Danio rerio: one gene and its partner. The protein of the gene in region 2 interacts with the protein of the main gene of each other region in a pairwise test. Links are inferred from orthologs where the notes say so. Each region holds a gene or a part of one and is shown on either strand. Other genes may lie near its edges. The genes, in order: sav1 and hax1.

Region 1 (3,833 bases), on a different chromosome or scaffold from region 2:
ACAGTCAATGAAAAACAATGAATATTATATTTTATTACTATATTATATTTTATCATATTATATATAATATTTGATTAATAAAAAAGGTTTTAGTTTGATGGTTTTTCTTTTATTTATGATGTAATTACATAAAAAAAGTATATACTTAATTTTTCCTAGGCCAGCCGAGAGACATAGGGCGTACTCAAACTATGCCATCCAAACCATGCTCAGGCCTGTTTCCCGGATTGTTTGAGAAGTGCGAGTGCTCTGAATCGGGCTCAGGCGCAGTTCAGTTGGCCGAACCAGGCCCAGTTGGAAGAGGTGTTCGATTCACTTGGGCTCGCCTGAGCCCGAAACTGAAGACGAGACGTTTCTTTAAAGGGACAGTTGGATATGGGTTTATTAATCATTCATACTGTTCAATGAATGCAAACTGTCGTAGATTATTAAAAACGCAAACCCCTCACTGCACGACAGCTGCACCATCAGCAAACCTCCTAATTCCTGTAGCTTGAGGACATTATGATTGTTTATGAGCGTCAAAAATGGCTGATCTCTTCAGTGAAATATTTCACTGAGGGTCGCTGCATCCCAAACGACTAAAACGATATAAAGAAATGTCCACCGTGCTGAGCGAGAACGCTTCTCACAGCGCATCATCAATGACGTAAGCGTGCTTAGTCGCGAATGCAATGAGAGTGCAGGCCGTTGAGGGAGACAGGAGGATGGACAAGCGTGCTTCAGCCTGGTTCGATGCGAGTAGTGCGAGTACGCCCATAGTCCCACCAGCCTGTCTTGGGTCTTCCCTGAGGCCTCCTTGAACCTTTGAACATTAGATACGATAGCAAATCATTCCAATTTTGTAAAGGTTTCGAGCCGCTTTCTAGTTACAGTTTTCTTGTTGGACGCTAGAAGTATTTTTAATAAATACTTGTCTTATATCATTAAAGTTGGCTGCTACAGGTATATTTTCCAAGTAAATTGTTGTAAAAGAGATGTCCATTCCATCACTAAAATATTTTGTATTACCTAACTACAAGTCACACGTTTGCACTACATTGAAAATGATTGGAAGCTGCGCTAGAGATGCACTAAGACAGCATATTTTCCATAAGAATAAATTAATATTTCAATAAAATTATTTATTTACAGAAGATGCAAGAAATTGACTGTTTAGAATATTATTTACAGGATCTACAGGTGTATTTTATTTAGAAGAGATGCAGCTTATTTTTGACTTACAATATGAAAAACATCGAAAACGATTAATTTTGTTTCCAAACATTATTTATTTTCCCTTTTTATAGGAAAAAAGTGACTTGGTTTTAGACAATGTGTGTTTTCATTCAGTTGTTTATTGTTAATGTTCAATAAATAATCATAGATTGTAGATAATGTGTGTTTCCTTCAATTATTTTAAAATCAAGTAATGCACTCTTCATTTAACAATCTGTCACTTGTGATATGTGAGCTTATTTACTAAACAAAACCTCTCAGTGAATTATGTGGCAAAAAATGAAATAAAATAAAATCAAACAAAAAAATTGTTCATTAATCAGAATAGAGTTAAAATTTTAATCTAGTTTTTGATTTTAGGCCAAATCGCCCAGCCCTACTTGACATCTCCAAAATATGTGAAAATGGTTTGCTAAGTCTTCTCCACATCTCCTTCAGCACTTTCCCAGATCCTTCTTCTGAGTTTGCATTCATGCAAACTGGGGATTTATAAAGTATGTAGTCAGATTCCTCCAGCAAAAAACTCACCACATACCAGAGCTGAAAAAAGTGGCATGAACAGAGCAGATATTTAAGCAACATAATTACTAGAATTGAACTAAAATAATCGACATGTCTATTTCTTAAACACTGTTAAATATACTGTTGTCAACTAAAATTCATTTATTCATTCATAAATATATTTTCAGCTTAGTTCCTTTATTAATCTGGGGTCGCCACAGCGGAACGAACCTACAACTTATTCATCACATTTTTACGCAGTAGATGCCCTTCCAGCTGCAATCCATCACTGGGAAAGTCAACTAAAATGGACTCAAAATATTGTCATTGAATTGAAATAAACCAGACAAAAAGAAAAAGCTAATTTAACACAATCACTTCTGTAACAGTATATAAACAATATAATTGTAGTTAAATATAAACCGTGTTAAAAATATGTCTAGAAGAGTAGAGCTGTAAAAAGTAAAAGTGCTGATATACATAGTTGCCCACCTGTTACCACACGTTAGCTGAATTCCATATTAATGCAACAAGCTGCAATGTTGTTCAGCAACCATAAACAATCTACAGTTACATCATGCCTACACTGATCACATGTCACTTCCTAACTAAAACACTACAAATTAAAACTAAGGCCTTTACAATAAATGACTGGATGGTACATTATGTCAGATTAAAGTCCATCTAAAATCGAAATGAGTTTTTTGGGTGTTAGTATTAATATTTTAGTTTTAAGGTCATCTATAAGCTAGTATGCGTTTAAAACAAAGACAGCATCTTTTTTAGAAGATATAAGCATTCAAAACATGCATGTTCTCAGTTCCGAACAATTTTCCATGACAGAGCACTTTAGCTTCTCATCAGACTGTCTGACCAATCGAAATGCTCTTTAGTATCTCAAATGGCACATAGTGCTACTAAACAAGGGACGAACAATTTAAGCAATGTAAATAAGATTTCAGAGACACAAGAACATAACTGGATCATATACACTAGTCATTTAAATTATTCTTTTTTTTTTTTAGGTAAATTACCTAGACAAGACCAGCATTACTATTATAAGCTTCCATCCACATATGGAATATCGCAAAAAAAAAAAGAGTAGGATAAACTTATCCATAGATAAACTACAATGTAATCACATTTGCCAAATAAATTCCAGAATACACAGCAAAAAAAAAAGTCTTGTGATTTTGTATTAACAGATCACGAAACAAAAATAGGTATGATGGGGTAGCACTAACGGGCCAATCTATCACATTGTTAAATATTTAAACTGTTGTTTTGGTCATTCCTTATTCTCCATGGCACAGTGGTTTGATATTATTACTTGCCAAAATTTTCTTAAGCCCCTGTGCTCCCAAAGAGCAATCTCACACCACCAAAAGCCACCACACGCTAAATGAGTTTCCACAATGAGAATCATTGTGTTAGAGTTAAAATCGCATCACACGCTAAACAAAACTGCATTTCAAGGCACTTGAGGGGACCTTTAATGTTGGACAATCTGTGTGAGAGTGTGAAACTTACTTTAGTGGAGCTCTGGCGTACACCTGTAGCCAGTCTGGAATCTCAGCTGAGTGATACGGGTTTGCTGGTACCAGTACAGGCGGGTTGCGTTCTGGTGGGCGGGGCTGGTAGGTGACGGGTGGGGGAGGGGGCTGGTCATAACGAGGCACACTAAAACAAAGAGAGTTGGCATATTTTAAAAACAAAATGGCATCAAACAGTCTAGATAATCAGTAATATATTATCATAATGAACATACACATATCATATACAGTTCAAGTCAAAATTGTTTGTCCTCCTGTGATTTTTTTTTCCCCTTTTTTAAAAAATATTTCCCGAATTATGTTTAACAGAGCAAGGAAGTTTTCACAGTATTTCCTTTAACATTTTTTTCTTATTTGTTTTATTTCAGCTAGAATAAAAGCATATAAAAGTGTATATATTTTTTAAGGTCAATATTTATAGTCCCCTTTAAGCAATATATTTTTTCTATTATCCACAGAACAAACCATTATTATACAATGATTTGCCTAATTACCCTAACTAGCCTAAATAACCATTTAAATTGCACTTTAAGCTGATATCTAGTACCTTAAAAAAATCTA
Region 2 (3,861 bases):
GCGGACTGCTGCTTTACAACTGACCTTATTGAGTTCAAATACAGTTGAAGTCAAAATTATTCGGCCTTCTGTGAATTTTTTTTAGTATTTTTTTTAAAAAATCTTTCCCAAATGATGTTTAACAGAGCAAGGAAATTATCATAGTATTACCTATAATATTCTTTCTTCTGGTGAAAATCTTATTTATTTATTTTTCCAGCTAGAATAAAAGCAGTTTGAATTTTATTTATAGTATTTTACGGTCAATATTATTATCCCCCTTAATCAATTTTTTTTTTTTCAGTATGTCTACAGAACAAACCATCGTTATACAGTGCCTTGCCTAATTACCCTAACCTGCCTAGGTAACCTAGTTAAGCCTCTAAATGTCACTTTAAGCTGTATAGAAGGGTAGAAATATCTAGTAAAACATTGTTTACTGTCATCATGGCAAAGATAAAATAAATCAGTTATAAGAAATGAGTTATTAAAACTAATATGATTAGATATGTGTTGAAAAAAATTGTTTGAGTTAAACAGAAAAAATATAAAGGGGTCTAATTAGTCAGCCTTCAACTGTGTGTACATTCTCTAACTGATTGTGGTTCACAATTGCACTGGTTTAAGTGATGATACATTTCTAGCATCATCTGTTCTGCTTCTTCCCATCAGGTTTCCCGTCAATAGAAGCTCCACCTCCACAGGAAGGAGTTGAGAAAGGCAGGAGTGGGACAGGAAGTGGGAATCCCATCAGAGATTTCATGTTGAAGTCTCCTGACCGCTCACCTAAAGATCCAGAGCACAGAGAGGATTCTCCACCAAATCATCCTCACAGGAGGCCTTTCTCAAAGGTAAATCGAGGTCTGCCAGTGAATATCTGCAGTCTCTCCATTCCAGCGTCTCATCTTATTGGCTTTCTTTCATTTCAGTTCAACGATATTTGGAAAGATGGACTGTTAAAACCAAAGGGGGAAGACAAAAGGGAGGATGGAGGTAATGCATCTTGTGCAGGTTTTCACAACAATTATACAAGTCTGAGAGCAGATATAGTTCTCAAAACCATTCAGTAGGTTTCCATTTAATTTTTTTGTTACAGATAAAGCTGATGGATTTGCTAATTATTGATTCAATTAAGCTAATTTGACAACCTTTTTCTTTAGCGGGGGATCTCTGTATATACTAAATATTCTAGATTACCTACTTAACGAAGGATAGCGCGCTACTTAACAAAGGGTAAATGCAAATTTAATTTAATAATGGGAAAATATAACATCTAATTTATGTTTATTTATATTGTATTATAAATAGTTTTTAAATATCATAAGATGATGAATGTCACATAAAAACGTAAATTAGCAGAAATTAATTTACAAACACTCTAATTTACATAAGGTAATCATCTGAGCATTGCTGTTATCATCTTACAGATGTTCCTTCAACAAATCTTTTGTTTTCTTGTTCTTGCCTCAGATCTGGACTCACAGGTGTCTTCAGGTGGACTGGACCAGATCTTGAAAGATCCAGCACCTTCACAGCCAAAAACAAGGTCATTTTTTAAGTCTGTCAGCGTCACCAAGGTGGTCCGACCGGATGGAGTGAGTGGATCATTTTGTCTTCAATACTATTTCTAAATACAATCATTGTAGAATTATATTTCAGGCTGTAAATATGCTCTGCATTTATGCTTATAATAACGGAGAGTGTGTGTGTCTCTGTCTGTCTGTCTGTCTGTCTGTGTAGACTGTAGAAGAACGGCGAACAGTCAGAGATGGAGAAGGTAATGAAGAGACGACCGTGACCATCTCAGAAAGGCCAGGTGGGCAAGATAGGCCAGTCCTGGATCAGTCTGGTCCTTTAATGCCAGGTTAGTGGTTTAATAATCTTTTTTTCTGTAAATAAAGATTATTAAGCTATAGATTATGTTTATTGTACTTTACTTAAACTCTATCCAATGTATTTATTTAATGTATGTTTATATAAAAATTTCATAAAAACAAAAAACAAAAAATGAATAGTTATAATTAGATGTGCAATGTTTGCATACATGTTTGCATACAGTTTATTATTTGAGTGTGGATTATTAAAATTATATATATATATATATATATATATATATATATATATATACAACAGTTCTGTCTGGTTCTCAAATCTGATTGGCTGATAGCCGTGCGATATTCTGCAATATCAGAACTCCTACAGCCTCTTTACCCTTTGTGTATTACTCCGCCCACATACAGCCAGCAAAAAGCAGACACTACAGATCTAAAGTTTAAAAGATGCACGCTCAACTGTTTAACTGTCAGCTTATGATTTGAATCCAGAAGAAAGTAGTTCCTCATACAAAAGGGTTTTTGAGACTCTCCTTGTTTGATTTTGTTTTTATATACACAATTATGCTGTCAAACTGTTGTATAAACGCAATATCACACTCGTAGCAGTGTGATATGGCTGTATATCGGCAGTGGTGTGGGCACAACGCACGGCTCCCACCAGTGCCGATATACAGCCATATCGCACTGCTACTCGTGTGATATTGCTCATATATATATATATATATATAATATATATATTTAAAAATATTTATTGTAATTGTAAAAATATTGTAATTTAAAGAAAGACAGAGACACAATTTAAGTAAACTGCTACTTAATAAAAAACAAGCAATTTTATGATTAGTTTTCTCCACCGCTGTTCCCCAAAAAGCTAAGATCTCAAAACCAAGGATCTTACTAAAAGTTATCTATGCGTATCATCCCCCCTTAGCATTAATGTTAATAAAATGTCTTCACATTTACATAAAGTCTTTTGCATTTACAGTATTTGTACATTAGACATATTTATTTGTAATCATTCAGTGATGTGTTTTCTGCATCTTTCAGGTGGTTCTGACATGCAGGATGATTTCTCCATGTTTTCCAAGTTCTTCAGAGGCTTTCGAAGTTAAAAGAGTTTTGGAACCAAAACCGAAGGACAATCTCTTTCCCGGCAAACCCACCACGATCACAATATTTCATTCTTAAGTATATTTGTGGAGATCCACAACATCAACATTGATCAAATATCACACAATGAACCTCAAAACTCTGCTGACTTTTTCATTTTTTATATAATTTCCATTAAAGATATGCAAATAATTATATAGACCGAACTTTGGGTTAGTTGGGTTTTGTTCAGAAATGACACTTTAATATATTTAAACATTTTATTTCAATAGGTGTAAATAAAAAAACTAAATGAAGTCTGCCTTACGGTCTCATGAATTGTTTTCAGGAACATCTAAATGTGGAAGCTGGCATATTTTCTGTATCTGAAGAGCACTAATTTAAGCAAACAGCTCTTTTTATTGGATAAATAGAGCAAACGCAGTACATTGTATTTTTAAGTGATTCTAAATGTAAGAGAGCTGCTCGTTTTGACAGCTGCTTAGCATTCTGAGGTCAAGTCAGTAGTAGCAGCTCATCAAAATTTAGTAAAGTAAGCTAGCAACTAAAACTAAGGGAAAACAATAATTATAGGATGGATTTGGAGTTGGATTCTTGTGTTTCTCATGTATTCTTGTAAACTGACAGTCTGAAATCTGCATTCACTTATATAGTAGGTACACGGTCAACTTAAAAATGGAGGAAGAAAGATCATTTAAAGGGATAGTTCGCCAAAAAAAAAAAAATACTCACAATTTATTCACTTTCAATCTGTTCCAAACCTTTATAATTTTCTTCACAAGAGAAGATATTTTGAAGAAAGCTGAAACCACTGACTACCAAAGTAGATAAAAACAAATATCATGCAATTCAGTGGTTACAGGTTTGCTGTATTCTTTAAAATGTTTTCTTTTAAACGGGTTTTTAACTAGTGAAGAGCAAGTAAATAATAGCCCCT

What was found.
Region 1: the proteins of hax1 (region 2) and sav1 interact in binary tests that used the Homo sapiens proteins (3 or more experiments, as listed by UniProt). The link is inferred for Danio rerio from reciprocal best matches to the Homo sapiens genes HAX1 and SAV1.

Annotation. Positions count from the first base shown.
Region 1 is NC_133188.1:40,254,349-40,258,181, forward strand, and holds part of sav1 (protein salvador homolog 1), read right to left. Parts: intron 3,400-3,833; coding exon 3,250-3,399; intron 1-3,249. UniProt on the Homo sapiens protein: Regulator of STK3/MST2 and STK4/MST1 in the Hippo signaling pathway which plays a pivotal role in organ size control and tumor suppression by restricting proliferation and promoting apoptosis.
Region 2 is NC_133194.1:8,858,192-8,862,052, forward strand, and holds the end of hax1 (HCLS1-associated protein X-1), read left to right. Parts: intron 1-651; coding exon 652-830; intron 831-908; coding exon 909-972; intron 973-1,449; coding exon 1,450-1,574; intron 1,575-1,719; coding exon 1,720-1,843; intron 1,844-2,861; coding exon 2,862-2,926; 3' UTR 2,927-3,220; downstream 3,221-3,861. UniProt on the Homo sapiens protein: Recruits the Arp2/3 complex to the cell cortex and regulates reorganization of the cortical actin cytoskeleton via its interaction with KCNC3 and the Arp2/3 complex. Slows down the rate of inactivation of KCNC3 channels. Promotes GNA13-mediated cell migration.